Diceros bicornis minor: one gene and its partners. The protein of the gene in region 2 interacts with the protein of the main gene of each other region in a biochemical or structural test. Links are inferred from orthologs where the notes say so. Each region holds a gene or a part of one and is shown on either strand. Other genes may lie near its edges. The genes, in order: FYB1, FYN, HRAS and ENO1.

What was found.
Region 1: the proteins of FYN (region 2) and FYB1 form a complex in vitro, tested with the Homo sapiens proteins (2 studies listed by BioGRID and IntAct). The link is inferred for Diceros bicornis minor from reciprocal best matches to the Homo sapiens genes FYN and FYB1.
Region 3: the proteins of FYN (region 2) and HRAS form a complex in vitro, tested with the Homo sapiens proteins (2 studies listed by BioGRID and IntAct). The link is inferred for Diceros bicornis minor from reciprocal best matches to the Homo sapiens genes FYN and HRAS.
Region 4: of the proteins of FYN (region 2) and ENO1, one has a biochemical effect on the other in vitro, tested with the Homo sapiens proteins (2 studies listed by BioGRID). The link is inferred for Diceros bicornis minor from reciprocal best matches to the Homo sapiens genes FYN and ENO1.

Annotation. Positions count from the first base shown.
Region 1 is NC_080759.1:30,291,622-30,299,635, forward strand, and holds the start of FYB1 (FYN-binding protein 1), read left to right. Parts: upstream 1-5,003; 5' UTR 5,004-5,057; coding exon 5,058-5,060; intron 5,061-8,014. UniProt on the Homo sapiens protein: Acts as an adapter protein of the FYN and LCP2 signaling cascades in T-cells. May play a role in linking T-cell signaling to remodeling of the actin cytoskeleton. Modulates the expression of IL2. Involved in platelet activation.
Region 2 is NC_080762.1:23,592,140-23,599,322, reverse strand, and holds the start of FYN (tyrosine-protein kinase Fyn), read right to left. Parts: upstream 3,005-7,183; 5' UTR 2,932-3,004; intron 1-2,931. UniProt on the Homo sapiens protein: Non-receptor tyrosine-protein kinase that plays a role in many biological processes including regulation of cell growth and survival, cell adhesion, integrin-mediated signaling, cytoskeletal remodeling, cell motility, immune response and axon guidance.
Region 3 is NC_080770.1:1,447,761-1,454,839, forward strand, and holds the start of HRAS (GTPase HRas), read left to right. Parts: upstream 1-4,070; 5' UTR 4,071-4,589; intron 4,590-6,001; exon of another isoform or gene 6,002-6,070; intron 6,071-7,079. Other genes in the region: LRRC56 (leucine-rich repeat-containing protein 56), read right to left, coding at 1,133-1,315. UniProt on the Homo sapiens protein: Involved in the activation of Ras protein signal transduction. Ras proteins bind GDP/GTP and possess intrinsic GTPase activity.
Region 4 is NC_080752.1:28,557,651-28,565,200, reverse strand, and holds the start of ENO1 (alpha-enolase), read left to right. Parts: upstream 1-4,550; 5' UTR 4,551-4,630; intron 4,631-6,968; 5' UTR 6,969-6,977; coding exon 6,978-7,062; intron 7,063-7,550. UniProt on the Homo sapiens protein: Glycolytic enzyme the catalyzes the conversion of 2-phosphoglycerate to phosphoenolpyruvate. In addition to glycolysis, involved in various processes such as growth control, hypoxia tolerance and allergic responses.

The DNA of each region.
Region 1 (8,014 bases), on a different chromosome or scaffold from region 2:
AAATTATCATTAACAAATTGTCAAGAGTAATGACCAATCCAATGAGATTGTGTGTTTTTTGTTTTGCTTTGTTTTGTTTTTTGGTGAGGAAGATTCACCCTGAGCTAGCATCCATGCCACTCGTCCTCTAGATTTTAGTATGTGGCTGTCAGCATAGCATAGCTGCTGACAGAATGGTGTAGGTCCATGCCTGGGAACTGAACCCAGGCTGCTGAAGCAGAGGGCACTAAATTTAACCACTAGGCCACCGGGGCTGGCCCTGAGGGTGTGTATTTTGATGATATCAGTTAAATCTCATTGTCTTGGACACCCAGTGAGATAGAAGTATTATAACTTGAATTCTGCTTCTGAGAAGAATATACAAGGACTGAAGAGGTGGGAAGCCATGGGAAGAGAATAGCAAAAGCCGTAAGAAGAAAATATCAAGACTCAGCAGACTCCTGGAAAGCCTTATGAGTCCCCCAAAACCCAAGAGAGGGTAAGATACAAATTACAGCCAAAATAGCAAAAGAAAGTGATAAATAAATGGCAAGCAGTAGGATATATTGGAGCAAATGAGGAAGCCATTTGGTGTCAAACTAATTTGGCCTGAGCTCGTTTTTCCAAAAGGGCCTGTGGCCTTTGAACTTGCATTGCATATCTGCTTTAAGCAATTAACATGTCCCCAAAACGAGAACAAATGCCCTTAAGATAATGATGCAACTTCTCCCACATTAGCCTTTCCTTAAGGTTAAGCATTTCTCCCTAGGCTAGGATTTGATTGCTGTGCTCAGCCTGTGACCACCCAACTTGAGACAGCAGACCTGCTATCTGCTGTGTCCATCAATCGCTGTGCCAGCAGGGCAATCTCATGACTATCATAAAAGGGATGGTGCAATCATATATGATATATGCTCTTTGATGGTATATAACTGCTCTGTACACTTGGGGAAGGAAGGCTCCAGGTTATATGGTCCTCAAATTTGGCTTATAATAAGCTCACCCCAATTTTGATTTATAGATTGATTATTGATTATTTGCATTGACAAAAATAATAGGTAAATTAATATATAACATAGAATTCTTCTATAAGCTTTGTTCTTTGTCTCTTTGCTCTTCAAGTTAATTGGACTGATAAAAGACTCCTTAAGTGAAGTTTAGATTCTTTCTTCATTGTCCTATTTCAGCAGTTCTTTTAGAGTTTAGTAAACATTTGCCTGGGGTTGGGTTTAAATTGTAAAGACAATTGTTCCTCACCCTTCTTGAGTTTAGATACAATTTACTCATCCCATAGAAATACAGTGTGAACTCTCCTTTTAGTGGAATTTTTTACTGAAGTTGATTAAAGTTACTTCTTCCTGAGCACTGAGGTTCTGAAAGGGTTAAGGCCTCCTTCCATCAAAAATAAAAATTACAAGAGTGAAAAAAAATCTATTTTGTTTTCAAAACAAAAAGTGAAAGAGAAATAAGCCAAATCCAGGAACTGCCCATTTCCTCCCACATGACCTTTTCAAGCATGCCTGTTCTTATCCTGCTTTCTTCCTGCTACTTTCCATTTGGCTGTTCCATATCTATCCAAGCAGGGAGAATAGAATTTCCTTGAATTTCTATGAATCTATTTTGTGAGTTTGAGTTGATCTTGGCTGGCACAGTTCAAATGCATGTTGATAAAAAGAGACAAGTTGACAAAATAATAAAGTTTTAGCTGACCCGTTTCCTAGTCTGGAAACTTCAGGCGTCACTTAATATTTCTGCTTTCATTTCATCATCGCAGAACAGCAATGTGGTGGCCATATCCTAGTGTTTGACAATATTATAGCCAAGAGTTCTCCTACAGCTTCCCATAAATGATGGGCTTCAAGGGAGGCTGTACACTTGCGGAATTTGTATGCAAATCGTATCTGCTTTCATCAGATTTTGAAAGGAACTCATGAGCCAAAAAAAATTTAAAAAAATAAAAGCTGCTTTAGGATCTTAGAGTGACAGAAGAAAATATGAAAATTAATTTGAACTGGAGGAATTTCAAATCTAGTTAAGGAGACAAACCTAATGCAGCCGATACAACGGGAGAACCATAAAAGGCAAGCATATCAAAGAACTTCATTTCAGTTGTTCAGTCTGCAGGAGTCCAGAAAAATGGGGAGATGAGTGAGCAAGCAGCAGAGAAGGCTTCCTGGAAGAGGTGAGACTCAACATCCCCTCTGTTCTCCTATCTCACGGATCTTGTCCTGGCGTGTTAGTATTGGGCACATAAAGTAGCTGATGATTTGCTTCTTCCCTAAAATGTTAACCATTCAGGTTATGAAGCTGAAATTGTGTAAGAGTTTATAAGTATTTCTAACTCTCTATGCTAACAATTTTAACCATGCTCCTTTTAATGCCTGATAGATAAAACACTGACAATGCTTTTAAATAATGATCAGTAAGTAATGTTACTTAACTTTTTATTTGTTCTATCTCCTATCTTCTTGTAAATCAACTTAAAAAAAAAAGGAAGCTGGTTTTTGTAAGCTACTCAGTATCTCTGGGCCTCACAGTCATCACCTAGTTGTCACCTTCAATGAACATCAGAGGGGCAGACTCATTGCCTAAACAAAAGCAGTGTTCTAGAATGCAAATTTATAAAAAGAAAATGCATGCCCAAGTATTTAAAGAATTCTAACCACTTTAGCATTCTCTGAGCTACTTCTCCCACCCACTAGCAGAAATAATTGCAGCGCCCATACCACAAAAATATAACTTTATCTTCTTTAGATGGTATCACTATATTGTCTGTCATCTTTATTGCATTTCCTGTTTCATTATCCTGCTCAAGGACTGATGTACTTAGTTGGCTTCACAGGAAATGTACTCACATATGTGATATTTGAAATATATTTTTTTAAAAGTAAAGTGATTATGCTCCAAAAAATAAAAATAAAAACTTGTTGGTGGATTATGAGTTATGGTTGGAAGCTTCAGTCCTTACTTGTTTTTTCTTAGCCAAAAATACTTCTCTTAAATATATGTTTTTGAGAGACTGCTGAATTTATGTCAATAATAACTAAAAATTACCTTAATCTGCATTTAGAAATAAGCACAAATTGAAACAGAATTCAAATGAATGAATAGAAATTCGAAGTTCTCTTAACCAGAGACTTGTCCAATTGTCTACATTGGTAATAGAAATTGCTAGATTTCTATTTATCATGTAATTTTTGTCCAACTGGACAAAATTTACAGAGAGAAAATCATTGAAAGACCAAGAATAAGTAATTATTATGTAGTGCATGGTGAAAATATGTTGTTAAACTTAGTAGTAATGATGTCAGAGCATCAGGATGATTTGTCCCTGCAAGGCTTGCCTGGTGATCTGTTTACTGTCTCCGTAGTACGAGTCACCTGCTCCTCCTTTTAGAGCCCAAGCTTGCCTGCCCCTTGGAATTACCTGGGAAACTTTGAAATGTACTGACGCCTGGGTCTCACACCTAGAGATTTTGATTTAAAGGTCTGGGATAAAGACTGGGAACTGGGATTTTTAAAAGCTTCCTAGGTGATTTTAATGTGCAGCCAAGCTGAGAACCACCACTCTAGCCCCTAAACTGTACCTGCACTGTGATAATCTCTGCCCCAGCAGATAGTGGATAAGAGGCTTTCTGGCTAAGCTAAAGAATGTCTCCATTCCAAGGACTTCTTCCGGCAAGTGTTTTAAATCTAAAAGCATGTCTGGTTGCCGTACCCGCCTTGCCTTGATCATCCTCCCCCATTCATTCCTTAAGCGTTTACTATGTGCCAGATCCCACGCAATTTCAGATTCCTCATGACCCACCTGGCTCCTGATTGCTCCTCAAGCCCATCCCTCTTTCAAATGCCTACAGGTCTCAAAGAATTATCAGGTTCCTTTCCACCACTGGAACATGCCCCCTGCTCTGTCTTCCTGCCTTGTCCTGGCAATGATTCTACCCATATCTCTAATCACATCTTGATTTTGAAAAACATTTTCATTTTAAAGAATGAATAATAAGGAACATCATTTTTAGTAAAGGATTTTGTATTATTACAGTGGTAATTAGCATCAGCTCGGCATCAAGCGAAGAAATTTGGTGCCCCTCTACTAGGTAAAGGCAGTAGTCCTTACAAGATCTAGAAATTTGCAACCCCAAAATAAGGAATCAGTTGCCTTTCCTTTGCAATAGGAAAGAAAGATGATTTTCTGCCCTTGAAATTACTTTAGTATCAGGCCATATATTCAAAATAAAGGAGATAATTCCGTGTACCAGAATATGTTCAAAGAGGTACTACGGATGATTGGTGTGAAATCTGACTACTGGGGATCAAATACCATGCCCTTAATATCTCCTTCATCAATGTGAGAGACTGAGGCATCTGATGCTAACAAATATTACCAAAAAGTTAATTGACATGTACTTTATATTTTCAATGAAGTGAATGACATCCTATCATAAGCTTATGAATATTGCCACTATTTAAATGTTGATGAGATAGATTTAAATACATTTGGAATTGTTGATTAAAATTATCATGATCCTTCTGTTCATTTTAAGATTATAGTGATGTTTTTAACAAGTACTATGTACTTAAAATAGAAAAGTCAAAAAGTCAGCAAAGTACAAAACAAGAATTATTTGTAATAATATCTCCATCCAAGTCAACCACTGTTAACATTTTAGAATGGGTCCTTCATTCATAGATAGATAGATAGATAGATAGATAGATAGATAGAAGATAGGTCCACAAATACCGATTTTGTAGAAAACAGGTTAATAACGCACATAGAATTTAATATCCAGGCACTTTTTAAAAAATTGTGTTAATCTTGCAGACTTCAAAGCATCACCTGTACCTGTTCTCATATGATTAAAGTGTGATAACTGGATAAACCTGGCCAGGTATACAAATGCTCTGCGGGCTGAGATAATATGCAAATAATCCTTACATATCAATGTGTGAAAGCTGGACAGACCACACAGTTCAAAAAAGGAAGTACGCTCTGCAAAACTAACTTGCACATTCACTGTCCGAGTTACAGCATCTTCGAGGTCGCTGTGTGCCAGGCATATCAACTCTTTTCAAAAAAAATGGTAAGTAATAGATTTTATGACTTTCCCTGGTCTGGCAAACATCTAACCTTCTCTACACGGAGCAGAGAGGGGTGGGGGGTGCTACACTGCCAGGTCCTCCCAGCGTTTGGAATTTTTCTTCTTCCCATTGTTCCATTTGCTAATGAAGCTGCTGAGTCTATCACAGCAGTTGCAAGACTATGGCTTCAGGAGTTCCCTTTTTTGTTCGAAGCCTTCAGAACTGAGGAAGAGCTATGCCTTAGAGAAAGAAAAGTTGTATTCTTTGTCTTTGCCTCTTGAGATAACTGGATGCCAGAACCAGCAGTCAAGTTTCCTGTTCCGAGCACTTTGGATCCCAGAAGAGAACTCCAGTGATATACGTGGGGCAGTATTGCTGATGATGAGAGCCATTTTGACAACACAGTACATTTTACAAAGGAGCTCTTTTGTTTAAAAAATTCATTTCATTATTTTAATTAAGAGAAGCAAACAAAGCCCAAATAGTCCAAACCTTAAGGACGGGTTGTGTTCCCAAAGTTAATTGAAAGTCATTATCTGGAGCACACTTAAAATAGTGACTGGTTTCCCAGTTCCCATAAAAACTAGCTTAACTCATAATGTAGCTGAACTACAGTGTTAATATTCTGCTACACAATTTCATATTCTTTCTCTGTAGAAACTGGCTGTGTTCTTCTACATGCAGTGTTCTTATGCTCCCAGAGTCTAGAAGAGAGCCAACTTTTATCTCCCACACTCCCTCCCCCACTCCCCAGCCCCTAGAAGACTGGAGACGGGTTATCCTTTCTCTCCTTGTAGAGAGGATTACTTCCTTTGCCAGTTCCCAGTGAGAAGATAGCATTGAGACAATGACTCCTACAGGGACTCAGTGGGGGAGGGTGTGTGTTGCAGACAGTGGAATCGAGAGGGCAAAGGATTCATGGGATGTGTTTGTAGTCTGGAAGCTCTTAAACCAGAATGGGGAAAGTGTAGAGGTGAGGATAACCTTGCCATGGGGGAGAGAGGGAGAAGGGGGAGAGATGGGGTCAGAGTTGCAGAGTCACAGGGGAGAGGAATGCACAGTGGTGGAGGAAATTGTAGCACATGACCCTTCCTGTAGCCACATCTGTAAGAGGAAGGCAGCCATCTGTTAAGGTGGGACTTACAAGTCCCTCTAGTGTCTCCAAACTGGGTCTTTAGGTCCAGAATTCTTAGCAAACAGCTTGACCTTAATTACTGATATCATCTTCAAAAGTAAACAAGGGCACTGTGGTTTACAAAGAGTTATTTGGATTTTCTTAAGGAAAATGAGATGATCATAGCAGAAAAAAAAAGTTTAACTGAATAGGGTATGTTTGGTAATACGTAAGCAATGTTTTCTTAAGAGCTCGTCATCTTGTTATAAAACTAGCACATATTATTAAAGAAAATTTCTTAAAAATATAGATATGCAGAAACAAAACAATACACATTTTCTATAGTTCCATCACCTAGGGGGCAATCATTGTTAATACAGATCCTTCTAGAATTTCATCATTTTTAAGTATATTTTATAAATATAATTTTCTATAAGTGCTATCATACTTTATAAACCATTTCCTTATCTGATTTTTTATGTAAAACATTTTGAATAATATATGAGTTAGATATCATTTCTAATGATAAGTCATTCTTAATGACTATGTAGTTTTTCCATAATTTAATTTAATCAGTTCCATATAGTTAGACATTTAGGTTTCATATTTTATTTTTCTTTCTGTATGGTACTACGACAAGACTGTCACAAGCGTTCTTTTATATACAGTGCCTGATTATTTTCCATTGACAGAACTACTAGGAGAAGAGCTAAGTGAAAAATACATCTATTTAAGATTTTAAACACAGATATCCTCTTGTTAAACAATATATTTCAAGTTTACTTACTATATAGTGGCATGGTAAGTGAATTTCCCAGTTGCAATTATGTATATACATGCTTATCTTTGTAGCATGTCCAAGTTATACTTAAAGAGGAAGCAGATTTCCCTTAATTTTTCTCTCCCCAGCATTGCTTCTGACATTTCTATGACAGGTTGTGAAAGGCATGTAGCATATTAAGAAAGGTGTTTTCTCCTTGAAAGGCTTCATAGCACAGTCAAAAGGCCATGTGCCTGGCTCCTTAGGCTTTGCTTACCAGTTGTATGTTTTTTTCACAAGTCCCTTAAGCTCTGAGTTTGTTTCCTTATCCAATAGTGGTGACATGATGATGATGCTGATAGTTACTGTGGAACAGTGTCGTTGTAGAGGGTAAATAAGATTGCAATTATAAAGTACCTACTATAGTGCAGGCACCAACCGGATACTGGATAAATATTGGTGTCCGTCGTTCTAGTCCTCAAAAAATAATTTCCTAAGGAGGCATAGAGACTTCCAGTGAACACAGGAGGAGAATGATAATGGCAGTTAACATTTGTGAGCCCTGACATACACTGTCTCGTTTAGTCCCCATAACAACCCTTACGAATCGTGACTGCTCTTATTCCTATTTTCTCGCTGAGTACACTGAGTCTTGGAAACGGTTAAGTCACTTGCTCACAGTCACACAACTATTAAATATTGGGACTGGAATTTGAGCACAACTCTGTCTGATCTCAGAGCCTGAACTTTTCTACCTTATGCTGCATCTGAGAAAAAGTAGGTACAGAGGAAGACAACAGCGTAGTCCAAGAAAAGCCCAGGCCTGGCTTTTAGGAGTACGAGGGGCCTTTCCTCAGGCTGGTGCCCGTCCCTGTTGGATTTGGGAATCAGCTGCGTAGCTGCTTCTGCTACTGCCACTATGAATTGTCCTATTTTTAGAATGCTCACTTTATTGAAATCTTCTAGAAGCCACTGGGATGGGAGGCTGGAGGAGTTCCTGGCTTTGAAGTTCTCTACCCCAGGGTTCAGAAAGAGGGACTAAATGATCAAATGGCTCCCCCCTCCCCCAAGCTCACCTGCTG
Region 2 (7,183 bases):
TTGAGGGCAATGACTGTGCCTCGTTGAGTGGCAGCATAAGGCAAAGCTGCTGGCCAAAAATACATTTCTTCTTGACCTTTTTTCTGGTCACATGGCTAAACTATATTTCCCAGGCTCCCTTGCAGTTAAATGTGGCCATATAACTAGCCCTCATGTAAAGGATGTAAGTGGAAGTGACAGGTGTCATTTCCAGGCCAAGGCATTTAAAAAGTGGGTGCACCCCTCCACTCCCTCTTTTGTCCTTCTGCCAGCTGAAAGCTGGTTAAAATGGAGTGCTATGGGATGGTGGAGCATGGGGCCCAGAATCACTGCATGGAGGAAGGCCACCCACTGACCAGAAATACCCATTCTGGACTATTACATGAGGAATAATAAACCTCTTTTGCTTTTGAGCCATTAGATTTTTGCAGGCCTATTTGTTACAGCTTCTAACATTAGCCTCATTAATCTAGGAGCCTAGCACATACCAAGGACCTAAGTCACATTTGTGAAAACAAGATAAATAAGCCCAGGTTCCTTCTCTCAACGTGCTGACCAACTAATGATGGAAACAGACACAAGCCAAACAAGGCCTGCTGCTGAAGTTGGAAAACAAAGTCAGAGGCATGGTAATTTGTTTGGAGGGGAAAGGGTGGAGAAAGCATCACAGAGAAGACTTTTGAGCTGGGCCCTAAAGGTTAAATAGGACCCAAGCAAATCAGACGGGGTTGGAGATTCCAGACCCAGAGAAAGCATAGGGTAAAGGTACAGAAAGCAGAGTGTGCATTTGTTCACATTCAACCTTATCATTATGTCTCTTTAACTTGGTCAACATGAGTTTATCGTGCACTGACTTTCCTATCTTGGGTCTGGCATCAAACAAACAACCCTTTGTTTTTACAGTACACTCATCAACCCTATCGCTTTTTTTAATATAAAATGTTCCATGATGAATGTCCTTAGAAAGTGCAAAAGTAAACGTTTAATGAATCATAACAACTCTTTTCTAATAAAATTCTTGAAGAACAAACTTGAGACGGTTCTATTACTACTTATCGTAGTCAAGGAGCCACGCTCTTAAGAATCAATGACTTCAACCTTTGTCCTAAGTTTTGACATTATCGATTAAACATGTAATAGTCACTGGCTTGCAAAATGGAACATTAGGCCCCAGAATTACATTAACATTTCCTCTTTAAGAGGAACATCAAGCAGATGGTTTAAGAGTTCAGTCAAAAGATCGTGTATATCGTTTGCTCACAGCTAAGTGCCCCTAAAACCTGAGATGGCTAACAAATCACTTCCTCCAAAAATCTATGAGTCTCTTTAACTGAAAGCAGAGTACCCATGGGGCAGGGACTGGGGAAAAATGCACAAAGGGTGGAAAATATTGCAGTCACTTGAGCGGTGAGAGGAAAGGATGTGGGTGTCTGAAGCCTACCCTGAAGCAGGGAAGAGAAACCGTCTCCAGTGGTCTTCCAAATACCAATTTAATGATGTATTATCAATGCACCCAGGAACTTGTTTAAATATAAGGGCAAAACAACATCACTGGGCTGACAATTCATTTCAAAAGACTTGAGCAGTCCTTAGACTTGAGAGAAGCGAGTCAGGCTGCCTCACTCCTATCAAACACCAATTTAATTCGCTGATTCAGAAACAAAATTCTTCTGCTCCCACACCAATGTACCCTACCTCAGCTCTTAGTATCTATCCCTGAAAGGAGAGGGGGTTAAAACTGGGCGGAGTGGAGACTACCTTGAAAGTAAAGCAACTCTTATGACAGCTAGAATCATTTCCCCCTTAAATCTAAGGAACACTGCAGCTACCAGTCAACACTACCAGTCCATGAATACAGCAAAATGCCAGCACCTGCCACCCCGCATCTGGGGCCTTTTATTTTTTGGTAAATGTGGCAGGAAAGATTCTGAGAGAGAAGATCAACTGCTATATCTGAGAGAAAGGGAAAACGCAGGGAAGAGAAACAAGAAGCACAGCGCCCATCCTTGGGTACTTTGTGTGTCTCCTCTCTATGCACTGAAAGGGCTCTTTGTGTCACACACACACACACACACACACACACACACACGGCGAGTCTGTGTGATTTATGGGGGGAGGGGCAAGAAGGGTGATTTTATTATCCCTCTTCTCACTGAGTCCCAGCAAATCTCCGCCTGGGCCCAAGCTCGGTGGCTTCTTTCTGGCCCAGTCCCCTCCGCCTGTGGCCGCAGAGATAAGAGAGGGGAGGCGACCAAACAAAAACAGTCATCGATCTAGGGAAGTAGAGAGGAAATCCAGCGAGCAGGGAAGGGAGGAGAAAGGAGCCTGAGGGAGCAGAAGGGGTGGGGGGCAGAGGAAGAGGAGCGAAGGCTCCTGCACGGGGGACAGGGGAAGGGTGGGTGGGTGGAGGCACAGGAAGAGTGAAGGGGAGGATGGGGGAAGTGCAAGGGAGGTGCCAGAAATAGGCAGGAGGATGCAATGGGGAAGGCGACGGCCGCAGAAGGAGGCCGAGAGGTGGAGGAGTGGGGCAGGGGTGGGGTGCGGTGGGGAGGGAAGCAGCACGGGGCATCAATTATTAAGTGATTACATCATCCCTGACATTAAAACAACACACACAGCCCGGGTCCCCGCGGGGGGCCCCGAAAGGAGGGCGGGGGCGGAGTCTGGGGCAGCCTCGCCCCCAAGCCAATTCCCATTCTCATCCCGCGCCCGCTCGCGGCCGAGGAAATGGGTCCCCATCCCTGCGCTACCTCCGGGCCGCACCGCGCAGAGGTGTCCTCCAGCCCGGCCGCGGGAAGACTCCGAGCGCGGCCAACTCCCCGGCAGCCCCGCGGGGCGCCCTGGAGGCGGCGGCGGCCCAGAGACTGCAGCGCGGGGCCCCGCGGCGGGGGCGGCGGCCCGCGTCTCCGCAGCATCCCCGAGGCCTCCCGCGACGCATCCCCGGCCGCTTACCTGCACGGCGCTCAGGCTCCGGAGCCCATTCACATGGTCCTCTCCCCGCCCTGCTCCGGCGCGGCTGAGGCGGCTCCAGTGGCTCCTCGGCGGGCCCGGGAGCCGGTGGGCCTTCCGAGAGCGCCGAAGGGGCGGCGCCGGGTGTCCCCGGCCCGGCGGCCGGATCCCTCCCTGGCGCGGGCGGCGGCCGCCGGGCGGTGCAGCGCGGGCGGCGGCTTTGTGTGCGCCCGAGGAGCCCTCCGTGCGCGCGGTGAAGCGCCGCGCGCCGGGACGGCAGAGGACGCGGAGCTCCGAGGTAGCCTCGCCTCTGCTCCCGCGGCCAGCCGGCGGGCGGGTCTCAACGGCCTCCGGCTCGCGGCGACCCCTCCTCCTCTCCCGCGGCAGCCCCCTCCCCGCCGGCTCCGCTCCTGACAGATGGCGCAACTGCAACGACACGCCGCCGCCGCCGCGGCTGCTCGCAGCTACTCGCGCTGATGCTCCAGCCCCTCCAGCCCGGCGGAGAGTGAGGAGGGGGCGGGACGCACCCTGAGAGTGGCAGGCCCCGCTGCCCTATCAACGGGCCCCTCGGGAGCTGTGGGCGGTGACCATTGGTGTCTGGGACGGGGGCGGGGCTGCAATGGGTGGGGCCACCGAGTGGGCTGAGCGTTGCTGTAGCAGCGGGCATCCTGGCCCGCGTGCCCGTGTAGGGTGTGAGAGGGGATGCGAGGTTGGAGGAGTTGTGTGTGTGTTTTTGAGGATTGTATGGACTTGTGAGGTAGTGGGTTCGGGCGAGGGAAGGAGGAGAGAATATGAGCTGCAGTTTCTGCTTTGCAGAAGGTTGCAGCTGCCACTGCAGAAAGGCATCTGCCATTCTCCCCAAACCATGGGAACCTGCCTCGAGAAAGGGCTCTCTTGCCTTTCTGGTGTCTGACAGTGGGAGGAGAAATAGGGAAAGTGTTAGGGTGGTGAAAACGTTTTCTCTGATAAACTGAAGATTGCGGAGCAAGGTAGAATGCCATCTCAGAAACCTGGGAAAGTTAAGAGAACCCTGGAAACGCACGATTAATATTATTAATAATAATAAGGAGGAGGAGGAGGAAGAGAAAAAGCAGAGGAGGGAGAAGAGGAGAAAATTAGGATTAGTTTACTAGTCTCCTATTTTTGTGGACACACACACACATATATAATTATTTTCAAGCAAAAGTCTGGAGCAAGTGTTACTGAAATGGGAGGAAGAAGTTGGAGAGGACAGGCGGCCACTAAGGAATCTGCAATCATAGAACAGAGATTTGTTTGTATAGTTTTTTCCAAAATCATGTTTAATTGTAGCCATTGGTTGTCATTGGTTTCTCATGACACTCAGCCTTCTCATGTTTCTTCCTTTCACTGAATCTGAGCTTTTGCTCAGATTTTCCTTAGTGAAATAATAGCCAGTTTAGTATACAGTTGGGAGTGCATCAGTCTTTATTTCCTATCCAGCTTTTCTATGGCAGGATGTAACTTCATAAAAAGAAACACTTTGGCTTCCTGATTTTCTTTATAGGTAATTCCTGTTTACTGAAAGTTCTGCTTTAAGGCATGCTCAGATTAGTTCTCCTTAATGATTTTGGCACGAACCCTACCCTCCTCCCCCAGCAAGCCTAATGTTCTGAGAAATATAAGCAAGTTGGCTTCTGCTTCTATGCTCAAAATCTATATTACTTTTCCTGCCAACTAATTGTTTTAACTGTAGTTTAAAAATATCAGTCACTTTTGCTGACTTTTTTATTTTTGCACACAGTACTTTTTTTTTAATTGCTAACATTCATTAAACGATGCTCATTTTTATGGATGAGGAAACTGAGGACAAGAGAAGTTAGTAACTAAAACTCAATGTGATAGTATAGGGTAGTTACTGTGGCTTTTTTCCTCCTTAAGCAAAATGATAAATGAACATAGTCCCAAGAAATAGAACCACAACTAGGACTAGAAGATTTCCATAGAAGAGAATGTCAACTTCATCTAGTCAAGAATTGTTTATCTCAAGCGAAGGGGGTCGTCTTCTTCAGTACTAGCCTGCCATGGCTGTCCTAAGTTTATTTGAATTGAGATGGAAAGGCTCTTGTCTAGAGCAATGATTCTCAGACTTTAGCATGTATCGGAATTACCAGAAGGAACTTGTAAAACACTGATTGGTGGCCCCCAGCCCCAGAGTGTCTAATTCATTAGGTTTGGGATGGGGCCCAAGAATTTGCACTTCTAACAGTTCCCAGGTGATGCTGAAGCGGCTGGTCTGGGTACCACCAAAACCTTGAGAACCACTGGTTTGGAACCAGGCTGTCCAGTGTAGTAGCCACTAGTCACACATGGCTATTAAGTACTTGAAATGTAGTTGAGTATTTGAAATGTGGCTAGTGCAAATTGAGATTGGCTGTAAATGCAAAAGATTTATTGGATTTCAAAGATTTACCATGAAAAAAAGAAATGTAAAACATCTCATTAACTTTTATGTTGATTACATGTTAAGATGATAACAGTCAATGTATTGTGATAACTAAAATATATTATTAAAGTTAATCACCTATTTCTTTTAATTTTTAATGTAGCTAGAGAATTTAAAATAGCATATGTGGCTCACATTATATTTCTATTGGATAACACTGGTCTAGAGTTGTTTCTGATTCCAGCTCCACAGTGCACACTGTTGAGAGCACCTTGATGCAGCAAATCTCTTACCCTTTCTGGACTTTACTGTTCTCACACATAAAATGGAGATATAGTAAAACTGATCTCACACTACTTGTGTGAAGACTAAATGGACATGGAAGCAATTTATGCATGCCTTCCTCCTTTTTAAAGATAAACTGTCATGTACTCTCAGAAAAACCGCTCTTAAGATATAGACCTCCTCGGAATTCCGTGTTAGACGGAATTTATCTTACATGATATCTGGAGTAGGTTAGGTAAGGCACCTCACTGCTTATGGTTTCTTCAAGAGGAGTCACTTTTTAGCGTCTGTAACTCTAATAGCTTCTTGATCTAATTAGTGGGCAAAAAGAAGAGACAATGCAATTAAAATGACAGATTAACCTGCTCCCATCAAGACTTCATCCTGTTTTTGTAATTCTTTCCTTGCTTACCTTTTTATCTGTTGCCCTTCTTAAATGTAGCTTTAAATGGATTTGGCCTCCTCGGGAGGATTTGCTAATGGTCTGAACAAGTGTACAGAGTACTGTGAAAGATTTGGACACTCTTCCCCATTTTGATCTGCTATGCAGGTCTGTACAGAGACCTTGATTAAAGATCCAGGACACTGTCCCTGGACTCCTTGAGATAAGTCATATTGTCCTCTACATCCCCCCAATTTTGTTTTATTTTCTTATGGACAGGTTAAATGTACAAATTAGAAGGTAGGCATTGTTCTAGAATTTCTCTTTGATTTGACTAGTAATGGTTATTTTTATTTTTCTATTTCTTTCACCTTAAATTTTCCTATTTCCATCTGGGCTTTCTTTATTTTGTCTCAACTGAATTTCTTATTCTCTTGCTTTTAATGTAACATTTTCCTTGTTTGTATGAGTTAAAATATTTTCTTGCCTTATTATTACATTTTAGTTTTAATCTTCTCTTAAATGTCAATTCAATAACACCACATATGGCAAGGGTAAGAATCCTTAACATAGAGTTCTTAAAAATCAACAAGAAAATAAAGATGAAGACTCCAGTTGAAAAACACGTGTAAAGGAAATACATCCCCACATGACCAGTAAATGTGAAAAGAGATTCAGCTTCACTTGTAACAAAATTAATGTAAAGATATAGTTTTTCCAACTACCTAGTTGGCCAAAGACATAAAAGGATGTAGGGAAATGGATACCCACATTCTACTAGTGGGAGTGTTAATTAGTGTAACCCTTCTGGAAGACAATTTAATAACATTTATGAAAAGCCTTAAAGTATATACCTTTGACCCAGCAATTCTACTTCTGGGAAAGAATGGAAGAAGTTTGCAAAGATATACCTATGATGCAAGTAATTGGAACATTGTTTATAACATGAAAAATTGAGGAAAGTCCATTAATAAGGGATTTGGTGGATGGGAGCAGAAGGCCTTCAACCCTCCCAGCCCTGGCCAGGAGCCTCTCTGGATACCACCTCTGCGGCAAGTCTTCTTCAAAAGGGAAGAAAAACGGCAGAGAAGAGGAAGAGGAAGAGAAAAGGGAAAATTAAAGCAGCAAAGGAAGGAAAAAGCTTAAAGAGTTTTATTGTTTCTTCTGGAAAGATTTTCACAATA
Region 3 (7,079 bases), on a different chromosome or scaffold from region 2:
GGACCCCAGAGCTGGCTGGCCTGGAGGTGGCCCATGGCTGTGTGCCTGTCTCTGTCCCCTGGGCTGGTGGCCGGGGCTGTCGAGGAGCTGGTGGGCAGACCCATCCTGATGTGACAGCTCCACACTGGACCAGGGCACTGGGAAGGTGCAGGTGCTGCAGGAGTGGCTGGATGGCCCCACACACAGAGGGGCCAGCAGGGGCATAGGGAGGGGCCTGGCGGGAGTGTTCCATCCACCTGCAGGGACCAGGTGGCTCGGACTCTTCTCCAAAGTGCTCAGGAAGGCGGTTGGGGGTGTTGGTGGGCATGTCACCCCGTGGTCTCCAAGGGACCCCTCTTTGTGTGCATCTCACCTGGTGCAAGCCTGGGTGCACTGGAGGGGCACGGAGGGAGGGCCTGGGGGGTGCCTGCACCCGGTGGGGTCTGCCCCCTCAGGGTGGCCAATGGCGGGCGAGGGGCGTGGCCAGGAAGGGAAAGGCCTCCCACGCTGGGAGGGGCAGGGTTGCCCAGTGGGGTCACAGGGTGGGAAGTGTAGTCAAGGGGGCTCTGCAGAACCTGCTGGGCCTCAGGGTGGGGGTGGGGGGTGACAACGAACCCCCACTCCAGATTTGGGAGAAAGCCTTCACCAGCTGCCCCAGATACTGTCAGTGGGACCCCAGGACGGCCCCCACCTGAACAGCTTGCCCCTCATGCCTGGGCTCCCCTACTCTGCTCGTGGTTTCATCAATTCCCGGCCCTTTGCACCTCCATGTGCCGTGCACCTCGATGGTTTCCACCCCGTCTCCCACCAGAACCTCAGCTGCTCGAACGAGGGGCGTCTTCTCTGGTTCATGGAGTGGTGCACCGAGGGGTCCCCGGAGCCCAGCGCACAGTGGGTGCTCAGCAAACACTTGTGGAATTCCTGCCTGGCTCAGTCCCTTCTGTGGCCTGAATGCCTGGGAGACGTCTGTGTAGCCAAGCCCCTGGGATTGGCCTTGAAGGTGGAGCAGGCGCAGGGGACACAGCAGGGCTGAGAGCATCTGTCAGCCAGGCAAGGCTAGGAGGGCAGGGGACAGAGGGCAGGCTGGACGCCAGTCCCAGAACATCACCCCACACGGGCCCTGCAGTCTGAGCCCCCAGCCCCCAGCACTCACCAGTCGGGCAGGTGCCAGACACTCTTCCACCAGCTGCTCGCTGTGGCCACCCCCATGGCTGCCCGGGGCCTTGCTCTGCGGGCAGGGGTTGTGCAGGCCCTGCCAGCTCAACTCCTGCACGTGGACACTGGCTGTGCTTGGCCGAGGCCCACGGGCTCTGTCCCAGGCCGGGTCCATGCACATTCGACCTGCCAGGATAGGCAGAGGGTAAGGCCGCTCAGCCTTTGCTCTTTCTGACCCCCGCAGAGCCCTCGACACGTCCCAACCCATGGCAAGCTGCCAGAGCCCACCCCCAGGGCCCGGAGAAGGCTCTGGTGGTGCCCTCACCCACTTAGTCTCAGCTGGCCTGGGGGCCTTGCAGTCCCCTCCCTGAGCTTTGGCACACCCTCTGCCTGGGCGAGTCATCCCCCGGTGTTTCTGCCCATCCTTCAGGGTCCATGCGAGGAGTGCTGGCTCCAGGCCTCCCCAGCTGAGGCCCCACGTAGGCTGTGAGCCTGGGGGTGCTGGCTGCAGGTCATGTTTGCGCAGAGGCCTGCTGCCACCAGCAGCAAGCAGCTGCCTCAGGCCCTGTGCTGTGCGTCCTTCTCCACCTGATGGTCTCCGAGCCTGGGGGCCCAGGACCAGGGTCTCAGGCATGCCCCCCACCCCAGCCTTGTGCCCATTGAGCCCCCTCACCTGGAGGGGGCTGCCTTTTCCCACCGTGGGTCAAACATCTGGGCAAGGGGGCGGCATGTGGCCCCAGGTGGCACCTGCAGGAGAGAGTCAGGTTGGCCTCCTGGCCAGGTCACCGTACCCAGGGGACCTGGGACAGGCTGGGCTGAGGTCACAGGGCCCAGAAGTGAGCAAGTGTGAAGGTGGTAGGGGCTCAGGTCCTTTCCACCATCCTGATGGGGGATCTGGCCCGGCTGACCAGGACGACAGCCAGGTGAGTGAACAATGCTGGGGTCCCTCAGGGTCTCTCCATTGCAAATGGTCCTCATTCAAATCCCCCCTTCCTTCCATCCCCGACTCCACCCTCTCTCCAAAAGTGATCCCGGGTCTGCTGCTCTGGACTGTCTCCCACAGGCCGGCCTCCTTGGCACTCTGTCCCTACTGAGTCCCCTGACCCTAGGCCCCAGAGAAGGTTGTCCAGTGTGTCCCCGGACCACCTGCACCAGGCTCACCTGGCGTAGCTCCTTAAAGATGCAGACGCCTGTGCCTGGCCCCTGATCCTGGAGTCATCGCTGGGGGTAGAGCCAGAAGTCTGCCCGGCACGTCCTGGCCACCTCCCTCCATCCTGGGTGGAGGCCTTACTGACCCCACTTCTGCACTCTCCCGCCCTTCCCGGATTTTCTTTCCTGCTAAGATTGACCCCTTCTACAACCCTCGTGTTTTACGACTCATTCAGTTGAGTGAGTGCCTCGCCCCGGGACAATGTGGGCTTGTGGACAGGATGCTCCCTTGCCGTGTCCACAGTGGGCAGATGAAAGGCTCTGAAATACTCTGGAGGAATCCGTGAAGGCGGCAGGTGCACCTTCTGGCCACCACTTTCATCTCTCAGCCCCCTGTGGACATTCAAGGTTCATCCTCTCCATCATGTCTAGAGACCCCACCCCCCACGGCCAGGGGAGTGGTCAGCTGGGTTTTGACAGAGGCGGTGGGAGAGGGTGCTGGGCCCTGGGACAAGCTGCCCAGGCTCCGTGTGCCTCAGTGGCCTTGTCCGGAGAGTGACCCATACACTGAAGATCCAATGGGGTGAAGGCCGTGAGGTGGCTCCCAGTGTAGAGCCTCTTAGAGTTTCCAGCAGGATTTCTTTCCAAAAGTTCCCTCTGCTGCCTGCCTTTCTCCAGTTGGTGAAGGGCCCCAAGCCTCGCAGGAGGACCCCATCGCCCTGCCCCCTGGGAAGATGCTGCCCACCCCACGCTGCCAGCCTCAGGCTATGGGGAGGGTGTGGGCCAGCCAGGGTGCGGCCCTGGGACACCCCTGGGCAGTATAAGGGCCGAGTCTGCTGCCCTCTTCCCTCTGTGCCCCCAGAGAGCAGCTGACAGAGGTTCACCCATGTACCGGCCCACTCAAGCCTGAAGGTCTTGGTGTCCCAGGAACAGGGCCTGGGTTGGAGGCTGTGGCTCCCATCTAGACACCGTCCCTGCACGTTCATGCACTGGGCGGAACCTGTCCACTCTGTTCATGGCTCTGCTCCCACCCTGCCCTGCCCCTCCATGAGTCCCCCAAGCCCCCCAGCATGGAAACCTGGGGGCCTCTCTGTCTCCACAGCCTCTGGCCCCGCTCATGGACTCTCTGGGTCCCCTCCACCCCTCCATCCCTTCACCACGGTGGGGAGGGCCTGCTCCCCTCCTAGGTCCTCACCAAGGAACCCCCAGAGCAGAGTCTGGAACCCTGCTCCTCTCTCCCCCAGAGGCAGGGCTTGGGGCCCTTCCTGTCCTGGTAACTGGGAGCCCCGAAGAGCCCGGCCGGGGAGCGTGGGCAGAGTCCCCGGGGGACGAGATTTGACATCTGGGGGCCTCACTGAGTCCCCACTGGCTTTGCTGCTTCATCCCCGCTCCCGCCCCTCGGCCTCAGTTTCTCCTCCTGCACGGGGGAGATAGCGAGTCCTGCAGCCCGAGCCCCAAGATGCCCTGGGCTCTCACCTGAGGGGTCGGCCCCGGTGCCCAGCCCTGGGCGCCCTCCGCCGCTGGCGGGCGCTCTCCGACTCCGGGTGTTCTTCCGGCCGCGGGGTTGCGGGGCCTGGCGCCATGACAACGGGGGCGGGGCTTTATTTGAATAATCAAATATTCATACACCGCGGGAATCTCGCAGGCCCCGTGGGGCCGAGCCACGCCTCTTAGCAACGGTTGCTAGGGCAGGCCGGCGGGGGCGGGGCAGCGGCGCAGGGTTGGGGACTCCGGCGGGTGCGGCCCCGCACGCGCGTGGGCGCCCGGCCAGCTGGGAGGGAAGCTGGGGCGGAGGTGAGACGCCATCAAGCCGGGGGGCGCAGACAGGCCAGGTGTCAGCCCCCTGCAAAAGTGGTCTGGGGTGGAGACGCGCGCCCGCCTTTCGCAGGTGGGAGGCGCCCGTGTGAGGGTCTTCCCGGAGGCCCTCGCCCTCCTGCGCCGGTGTGAGGGTCTTCCCGGAGGCCCAGGCCCTGCGCGATTTACCTCCGCCTGCAAGTGTAGCCGATGCCACGACAAGAGGAAGCGCCGTAGGAGAGGATCCTCTGCGGACGAGGGAAGTGCGAAGCTGGACACCTGGAGAGGAGTCCTGAGTGTCCGCACCCGCAAGGAACGCCATCACCCGTTTTCATTTATCCGCCTTTACTTCGTGTCTACGCGCGTGTCTACGCGCGAGCCGGGCTCTGTTGTAGCCGCGGTGCAGGGCGCGGGACGGCCAACAGGACACAGCCACGGCCCGTGGGGTCGGCGCCGTCGTGGGAGCGAGGGCGGCCCACAAGGGGCCCGCCAAGGTCACGGTCAGCAGTGGGGTGAGCTCCAGGGGACAGCACCGAGCCGGCGGGGGAGAGGATGGTGATGGGAGGGGGTGCTGGCCGAGGACAGGGAGGTTCAGCCTTCTGTGTAATGCACCATTCTTTCTTGTAAACAAGGAGGGTGTGTTTATGCGTTACTTTGGAATTTTTTAAAATGTCAAGAACATATCTTTTCGAGAGTCTTGAAAGGAGACAGGACGTGCATGTTTGTGCTTGGGGTGGGGGGAGACTCCAGGTCACCCCCCATGGCAACTTTTGGATTGGCTTTGCTGGGTACCGTTTGTTAACTGGGCCAGACGGTGAGCTTCTGCAGGGTTGGAACCCCCGGGTTTGGGGGGGAGCTGGGTGGGCCGGTAGTCTGCTGGGCCTGCCCAAGTCGGGGGAGGCTTGTGGTGAGGGGGTGCTGGAAAAAGGCTCTCCTCGGAGCCTGGGCGGGGCTGCGCGCTGGGTATGTGAGAAGCAAGACGCGGGCACGGGGTAAAAAGATGGAGTCAGACTCGCTGATCCACGGGCTCAGACGCACCCACTCAGACGCGGCGCCCCCGCACCGCCGGGCCCTGGGCGCACGGCTGGGCCGCAACGAAGGACCCCCCCCGAGGCTGCCAGGCGCCCTGGGGGAGATGGCGTCCGTCTCGGAGCCACCTGCGGGGAAGGGGATGCAGGGCAGCCAGGTCCCCAGCCACTGGGGGTCCCAGAATTCCAGCGCGGTTCGGGCCTGCTTCTGGCACCAGACCCTCGTCCCTGAGGCCCCCTGCCTTCCTCCACCTCAAGCCCGGGGGCGTGCGCGGTGCTAGGCCTGTGGGGTCCACCCAGCCTGTCCCTCCCGCTCCGGGCCCCCGTGGGTGGGCGGCAGGGCGCGGCGCGGGGCAGGCCTCGGGGGGCGCGGGAGCGCCTGCGCGTCAGCGAGGTGCCGAGGAGCCCGGCGCGGGGCTCCCGGAGCAGCGCAGGGGCTCGAGGCTGACCCCGGCGACCCCGCCCAAGTCCACACCTGGCCGCAGACCCGCTTCTGCGTGGGGTCTCTATCTCCCCGCGAGTCCGGCCTGCTCCCAGGAAAGTCCAGGCCATCCCCGGAGAAGCGGTCACCCCCGGCTTGCAACCCCAGGCCCCTCACTCGCCTCCGGCGCCGACCGAGCTATCCCCCAAGGCCGCGGCCCACGAGGGCCACCCGGCCGGGCACCGCCCTCAGCGCCGCTCCCGGAAGCCCCGCCCGGCCGCGGCCCTTGACGGGCGGGCCGCTCGGCCAACCGGAGCAGAGCGCGGCAGGGCGGGGCGAATTTTGGGCGGAGACCGCCGCGCGCGGCCAATGGCAGGCTGCGCCGGGCTGACGGACGGGCGCGGGGCGGGGCGTGCGCGGGCCCAACCGAGAGTCCTCCGCCCGCGACCGCCGCCCGCAGCCCGCGCCGCACCCGCCGCGGCGTGACCCCATGCGCCGGGCGAGCGGCGAGCCCCGGCTCCGGGGGCAGTCGCGCCCGTGAGCGGTGAGTGCGGCGGGGGCTGCGGGGCTGCGGCGCTGGGCGCTGGAGTTGGGGCGGGGGGCCAGGCGGGGCCGGGCGGGGTGGGGAGCCCGCTGTCCTGACCGGGCGCGCGGGGGCGCAGGTGGGCCGCGGCGGCGGCGGCGGCGGGGGTGCTGGGCGTGCCGGCGGCGGGTTCCCCCTGCCTGGCCCAGATCAGCTCCTGGGCGCCGTGTCCCCGGCCCTGTCCTCCATGGGGCCCTCGGGATGTGTGGGGGCCCTGAGCTGAGGCCGGCCTAGGGCCAGGGCGCTACGCCGGGTCTCCCGCCCGCCAGAGGCCCCAGGACCCTTCGGAACACCTCTTTACCCGGTGGCCATCACGCACACTAGGCGAGTCTGGGTTTAGGAAGTCACTGCCCACTGTCCCCTCAAGGGCACCCTCTCGTTAAACATCACAAACTGAGGACACCCCAGCTGGGGGCCTGGGTCCCAGGCCTTTCTTCTTCCTCACCTGTCCCCCGGCTCCCACACCTGCTGTGGGTCTTTCCTGTTGGTCAGCTTCTGCTTATGGGAACGCTGGCCCCCACCTGGCCTCTTTAGCTACCTTATTTTCTCCAAAGTTTTTATGGCCATAGAATGCCCCTGGGGTCTCCTTCATTTTAACGTGTGTGGGTCTCCTCCTCCTTGGGATGGAGGTTGAGCCCAGGAGGGCAGGGGTTCCTTCTGTCTGCCTGTCACCTCGTGCCTGGAACAGCACCTGGCATGCAGTAGGTGCCCAGTGAATACTTGTCGAATGCACCAGCATGCCCAGTGGGGCCTGGAGCCCGGTGTTGGCTGGCACTGGCCTGCCTGGGCACGCTGCTGTGCGCTCCACGGTGACAAGACCTGTTCTAGTAGGGAGGGGGACTGGTAACCTCAACCGCGGGCGCCTCCACTCAGGCTTTCTGCCTACCCAGCAGCTTCTAATTTGGGTGCGTGGTTGGGAGATGCTCTCGGCTGTCACCCTGCTTTTGGGGGTCAGCTCCCTGCCTCTCCC
Region 4 (7,550 bases), on a different chromosome or scaffold from region 2:
ATTTTCTCATTAACTGTGGTCCACGCAAAGCCTCTGCAAAAACCCTACTCTCAGTGAATCACAAGGGGCCAGTGCCTTCTGAAAGGAGAACTTGGCTCTTGCTTTTCCATCTGGAGCTCACGCACTGTGTCATCTGACGGCTCCTTCCTTCCAGTGACCCGCATTTTGCAGTGGGGCCATCGCAGGGTCCTGCACTCCTGCTCTAGCAGTGCTGCCGGCCTAGCGGACAGGCAGGGGGAGCCCTCTCTTGGCTGCAGATCAGGGTTTCTTGGGCCCACGGCTGCAGCCGCCCTGGTCCTCTTCAAATGACAACCATAAGAACTGTGAGACAGAATGGGTGGGAACAGACAGAGATGAAAAGAAAACTGCTCTGGGGACCTACTGCCCCTGCTATTTTAGAGACATCAGTGCCTTCCAGGCCTCCATTCTAGCATTCAGTAATGACTCCCAAACTGATGATAGGAGCCACCTGGGGTGTTACAGCTCAAGACTGCCTCCTGGGGTTGGTATTATTGCACCCATTTCAAAGATAAATGAGCTCAGGCACAAGAGGATCCACGCAGAGCTCTTTGACACAAGATACAGACTCTTTCCTCTGATTTTCTCCTGTTGGTTCAGAGCCCCACTCAGTCTCCACTTGGCTCCCTCATTCATTAGCTCCTCCAAGGAGATCTCTGCTCGCTGGGTGCCTGCTCCTTGCTTCCCTGACTTCCTTGGGTTTTTTTTTTCTTTAATCCCCCTACTACTTACTCCTCCCATTTGGGCACCCCTGATACATGCCCTTCTAGCAATGACTTTGTTTAAAAACCATACTGTGCTGCCTCCCTTCTGTCTTCCCAAACGTGTGCCTTGCCCAATCCCTACTTCCTGACTTTGTGAGGTCAGCTTTGAAGATGGCGGGGAGGGGGCTGTTGACAGTGGGAGGCCCTAAGAGGTGCCCTCAAAGCCATCATAAAGGCACAATGCTGACTGCAGTTTACAGAGAGGACACGTGGGTTTCTTTAAGTGAAGGACTTGGTGGTAAATTGAGAAGCCATCAAATTTCTAGAAAAAAATGCAAGGGAAGAGCTGAATTTGATTTTTTTTTTAATTAATTAATTTTTCTCCCCCAAAGCCCCAGTAGATAGTTGTATGTCATAGCTGCACATCCTTCTAGTTGCTGTATGTGGGACACGGCCTCAGCATGGCCGGAGAAGCAGTGTCTCGGTGCACAACCGGGATCCGAACCCGGGCCGCCAGCAGCAGAGCACGCGCACTTAACCGCTAAGCCACGGGGCCAGCCCTGAATTTGATTCTTTTTAAAGCTGGGTCAGAACTCATATAGGCTGCTGGGGGAAGCGCATAGAGGTACAGATACTTTAGAAAACAAAGTTGAGGGCCGGCCCCGTGGCTTAGCGGTTAGGTGCGCGGGCTCCGCTGCTGGCGGCCCGGGTTCAGATCCTGGGCGCGCACCGATGCACTGCTTCTCCGGCCATGCTGGGGCCGCGTCCCACATGCGGCAACTGGAAGCATGTGCAGCTGTGACATACAACTATCTACTGGGGCTTCGGGGGAAAAAATAAAAAATTAAAAAATTAAAAAAAAAAAAAGAAAACAAAGTTGAAGATGTTTATACCCATGACCTAGAAATTCCACATCTAGGTGTATGATTTAGGTATATGCCTTAGAGAAACTCTTGCCTGTGCTCAGAAGACATTTGCAACAAAGTTCATAGCAGCATTGTTGGTAACAAGAAAAAAAGAACCAGGAAACAATCCAAATGTATACTGACAGGAAAACGTGTGATATTCACACAATGGAATACTATATAGCACTGAAAACCAACCATCCACAGCTAGAGGGATGGAGCTCACAAATGTCAAGTTGAGCAAAAAAAAGAATTCTAGCAAAAGGCTACAAACAACATGATGCCATTTATACAAAGTTCAAAATTTGTATTTAAAAACCATAAAGAAAAGCAAGGGAATAATAAACACAAAATTTAGGGTAGTGATCACCTCTGTGGCCTAAGAATACACAAGGGACCTTACTGGCATTGCCAGTGTCCCATTTCTTAAGCTGGTGGTGGGTACACGGACGTTCATTTATTATTCTTTACACCAGATACACTTTATGTAGTCTTTGGCATATGTGAAATGATGACAGACAAACACAAACCTCACGATCACAAGGAGGGGCCATCCACCTGCATCCCCTGAGGGCCTTCGGCTCTCAGAGGATCTCTTTCCTCCCTTGGGCCACTTATTCAACCCTGAAGTTTCCTATCTGGCTAGAGACCCACCTTCCAAAGAGGCATGTCACTTTTTCAGTCGACCAGCAGTTTTCAACCAGGGGTGCACATCCCACAGACAGAATCTGTAACCCAGGCGGGTCAGAGGATGCTGCAGATTCTCCTTCCCTCAACCCTGGTGCCCACCTGCAAATGTGTTGCAGGCGCTACCTGCAGTGCTTCCCCAGGTGGTCTTCTGATAGTAGCCTTGGACACTCACTTCCTCTTCCTGCCCACCAGCAAGGCAAGTGCCTTTGGTATGCCACTGCGGTGAAATTGCTCAACAATTGTACTGTGAGTGACAAATAATAACAAAACAGCTGTAACAAGGTAAATGCCCCTGCACTGGAGTGCAGGCAAATGTGAGCCCCACACCTGTTAACAAAGCCTCAGGAGCTGTGGAGACAGGAAAAGCATTTGGCAGCCTGTGGATTTGGGGAAAGACCTGAGGGCATCTCTACCAATCATTAACATTTGAGCTACAATTTGAGGTCAAAGTGCGCAGAACACTGTGCTGTGGCCTCCCAGAATCTTGCGACAGCAGCTGTCTGAGATCATGTTCTGCATCTGATTTCCTGCTCGATTCACTGGTTCTGGCCAGAGAGCAGTTAGAAGAGTCGTGTCTTTCTATCTTTATCTCTCTAACCCTTTTAATGTAAAATAAAAGAGATTGTTTTGGAGCCCTTTCAGGGCCACGCCTTAGAATTGCTCTGAAAATAAGAGCTCTAAGTGTCTGATTTCTGTAAAGTTCTTAAGGTTTAGGAAATGTTGGCTGTTGGTTTAGCTGCTGAGTCATGGGGCTGGGATCTTGGTTTTAAGCAGTCTGAAACATTAGCATCTTGCTGGTGAAATCATCAACTCTGCTTGCAAAATTCATCTAATTCTTCAGTGAAATATTTTACAATTTCCTTATTGCTTTTTTGCTGAATTTAATCCTAAAGTTCCTGCTTCTTAGTCAACGGAGAACAAATACCGTGGGCTCAACAGACCATCACCTTTACCCAAGGCCTTGGAAACCTAAGCCAGTAGGTGGGGAGATAAAAATGCCAGGAGGGAAGGAAGAAAAACAGTTTTTGCAGCTAGCCAGAAGAAATAGGAATTAAATTCAAATACACATTTGAATCTCTCTATGCAAGGCAATGTGGAAAATATGGAGATGTAAAACAATGTCTGACACTGTTTTAGCTCTCAGACTTACAGACCAAGACGAATGCTGAGAAATATAACTGTCATAGAAATGGAAGCGATCGGGGGATGTGCTGCAGGACTGATTTTAAATGAGTATCAACTCCTGAACAGAAAGGTAAATCACTGCAGCCGCCCCTTCCTGGTTTTCATTTGCCAGACTACCATGGAATATTATCTGGTTTGAACTTTGAGAAATCTCCCGGGTCTGTGTGAAATTCCTGTCCAAATCATTATACACGATGGTTCACATGCATCCAGGCACATCTGATCTACCCCGGGGGCAAAGCGAGGGATATTAAGCCTCCTTGCAAAAAGCAACATTAACAAGAGCTATTGAATGAATTAACTCTGGGGCGCACGTGGAGATGTGCCTGGCACGCAGGCCGCGCTCAAAAAGTATTAGCTGTAACTAAAGGAAAGTGAACTGCCTCTCAGCCACCTGGCTCTCATGTCTGACCGGCGCACAAGGACAAAGGGTCGGGGTCACCTCGGCGGGCGGCCGGGGGCGCGGCGGGGCGCAGCGCGCAGGCGCGGGAAGGCGCACGTGGCCCCCAGCACGCGGCTCTGCGGCCCGGGAGCGGGGTCGCGGCGCGCGGCCGCCAACGTCTCTAGGCCGACGGGGTCTCCGGCACCACGCTGCGGGGCAGGGGGGCGAAGGGCCGGCAGGGCGGGCCGCGAAGGTCGTCACCAAGGTCGTGGGCCGGGCGTGCGCCGGCGGAGCGACGCTGTGTGCGTGCAAGACTCGGAGTACGTGACGAAGCCCCGAGCCCTCATGCCGGCCGGGCCAGCCCGCCCCGCCCCCGGGCCCCGGCGCCGCAGACGCTGCTTGGCCAGGGAGTCCCCGCGGGGAGGGGGCTCGCCCGCACCCCCACACAGCCGCGGTGCAGTAGGTGCCCCCCAGCCCCGCCCCATCCCCCCAGGTCATCGTCCCCCCGTCCCCGCCGCCGTGACGGCCATAGGCGAGGCCCTGAGTGACGGCGCGGGGAGCCAATGGCGAGGCGTCGCGCAGGGGGCGGGAAGTGGGCGGGGTCTCCCGAGCTGGGCAGGAAGTCGGGAGGGGCGGCGCGGAGACGAGCTCAGGGGACTGGGAGCGCGCAGGCCTTTTGGCTTAACGCTTCTCTCGGTGTCTGCAGCACTCTCTGCTTCTTCCCGGGCGCGACATCCGGCGGCTAGGTGAGTGCTCGGGGAAGGGCTGCCGAGCCCGCACCCAGGCAGGCGGCGCGGGGTCCTCTGGGGGTTCCTGCTCCCCGGACGGCGTGCCCGGAGCTTCGGCGGGGACGTGGAAGGGGCGGGCCGGCGCGTGCGAGCCGAGTCCCCGGCCGGAGTCGCGCACCCCGGCCCGAGGCGGGGCGCGGCGCCTGCTTTTCCCGGAGGGGAGGGTGCTGCTCAACAAGTGACTACGGAGTTGCAGGGCCGCGTAACTGTGCTGGGAGGTCAGGACCAGAAGGCGCAGGCCACTTAAGAGAGCAGGCGTGGAGAGGGGAAGGTTCTGGGGAGCAGTCCAGGCCTGACCCCGGTGCTCATGCAAGCCAGGCCCTCCCTAAAGTCGAGGCAGGGGCAGGGAAAGGAGAGATGCCCAGGAAGCTGCTGCTCCGACATGGGCAGTGGCTACAACTCCAGAAGATGCTTACTCTTGAGTGGCTGCAGCTGAGCCAGGGGATCGCTGGGAAGCGGTCCAGGCGACCTCGCCCTGGTCGGGCACGAGCTGCTCCCGGCGCCCCTGGCTGGCCGCCAGCAGTCGGCCCCTGATCTGACCTAAAAAAGGTGTACTTTGAGGAAACTTCCTGTTCACCTCTCTCTCTGCAGCGTGGTCTGGGCTGTGTGGCCCGTCGGTTGACTTGCCTCCAGGGCACACCTAGGCCCGGGCCGCCCGGTCCACTCATGCTGCTCGTGGTCCGGGGTTCCGTCCAGACACACAAAAAGCGGTGAAGCCGTGTGGTCAGACCAGCCTCTCCCTGACCCTTAATGACTTCGGAGAATAGTTTTTCTATCCAATATAAAGATCAGTTGGATTTTATTTTCACATCATGAAATAAGTTAATTACTTTGTCTTATGTCACTAAAATGAGATAAAAGATGAGTTCCTATAGCTGTATGCTGAGGTAGTGTAATCAAGATGCGCTTTAAAGCGCATCTGAAATCCATCAAGTACAGTTGGTTTGGGGCGGGGGAGGTTGACTGGAAACTGGCTGAGGGGACTTCTTGGGGTGACAAATGTGTTACACAGGTATATAATTTGCCAAAACTCAAAGGTAACTAAAATTAAAAAACACGTTTGACTGAATTTGCCTTTTTGTAAGATAGTAGATAAAAACTAGATATTTTTTTATTGGCTAATGAATAAAACTCCATTGTTACATAGAAAATAAAGCCACAAAAGTGACTTCAGCATCTAATTTTGAAACTTAAAAAGAAAAAAAAATGATGCCATTTTCTGCTTCAGAACATTCCAGAGAAGATATTGGGGGGGAGCCCAGTTAGATAATGGCTTCTGAACACTAATTCAATTCCTCTCATCCACTTCAGTCCTACACGTTGTTCAATTCATTTCTTCCTTGGAGAGCCGGTGGGAGAAGGAAGGAAAAGGCCTTTCTTTGAGAATTTGCTGTTTGCACTTTGTAGCTGCAAACCTTTTTTTTTTTTTTTTTTTTTTTTTTTGAGATGTTTTCAAAGGAAGCTTCTTTCCTTGGAGTATTTTCAAAAATAGAATCTTTCCTCTAGTTACAAATCATGACATTTCATAGTTGAGTTTTTTAATGGAGTAAAATGCCCTTTGAAAGAAATACTAATTAGATGTCATTATTAACGTGTCCTGTCTTGCTAAAGACTCAAGTACTGTGCGGTTGGAAAGCCCTGGAAATTGGCAGTGGCAAAGATCACAGTGCACAGACCAAGGAGCTCACTCCTGGCCTCCAAACTGAAAATTTCTAATTATCTAATATCTACCAGTTGAACATCCTACTGCTACCTCAAGTTTAACTTGATGAATTATGTCCCCATCTTTTAATTCACTATTTCACTACAAACCAAATTTTCCTCCTGGTTCCCTCCCCACCCCACCTTTTTTATCTTAGATGGGTTTGCCTGGGACCTTCATGTCCCCTTGGTCTTTTTCCATTGCCATGCCAACCCTCATTGTTAACTAATGACAATAACCGGTTTTCAGACTGCCTCCTCTTCAGCCATTCTGTATGCCATCAACACGTTAATCTTTCCCGTTGTATTTGATTGCTCCCCAGTACAGTCATATATGTTCAGGCTTTGCTTATAGGACGAGACCTGAACTGCTGGGGATTAAGGCCTTGTAGAGCTGGGCCCAACCTACTTTTTTAGGAGCAATTCCTCCTGCTTTCCAGCAGGCCCTCTCCCACTCTAGTTAGCCTTCCTACATCCAGTATTTAGTCCAATGCAGATTCTTTCAAGTCTAGGAGTTCTCAGAAGTGATGCCTTGAATGAATGAGCTGAGGCTGCATTATGGTTTGTGGAAAATATGATCTGTGTTTCCCCACAGAAATTCGCCATGTCTATCCTCAAGATCCATGCCAGAGAGATCTTCGACTCTCGTGGGAATCCCACTGTTGAGGTTGATCTCTGTACCTCAAAAGGTATGTGCCACCTTTGTTACTATAGTTCCTTCCACCACATGCCATTTTTTTAAAACTTTTTAAAAATGACGGCCTTAGGCAAAGAAAAGTCTTACTGTAAAAGCCTTTCTTTCTGATCGGCACATGCTGGTAGGTTGTGCTTCCTGGCTGGGGGAGTGTGGGGGTGCTGTAGGGCATGGGAGTCCTTATCTTGCTGCTTCTTGGTATTTAAAACAAGCCAGGTTGGCTCCTAGGTCAGTGAGGTAGGGGAGTAAGGCGATACCTTGTCCCTAAAAGGGCCCATCACTGGTTTGCTTCACAGCTTGCTGTGACCAGTTAAGCTGATATGGTGTGATAGGATGGATCTTTCTCTCTTGAAAAGGAAAGAGATAAGCAAGTGCGAGTGTAATTATAGCACTCTTATCTTTGTTTCCAGGAATCACTCTTAAACCAGGGATCTGGGATAGTTCTTACCTTTGGGTGTTGGGACGTTCCAGAGGCTCTTATTT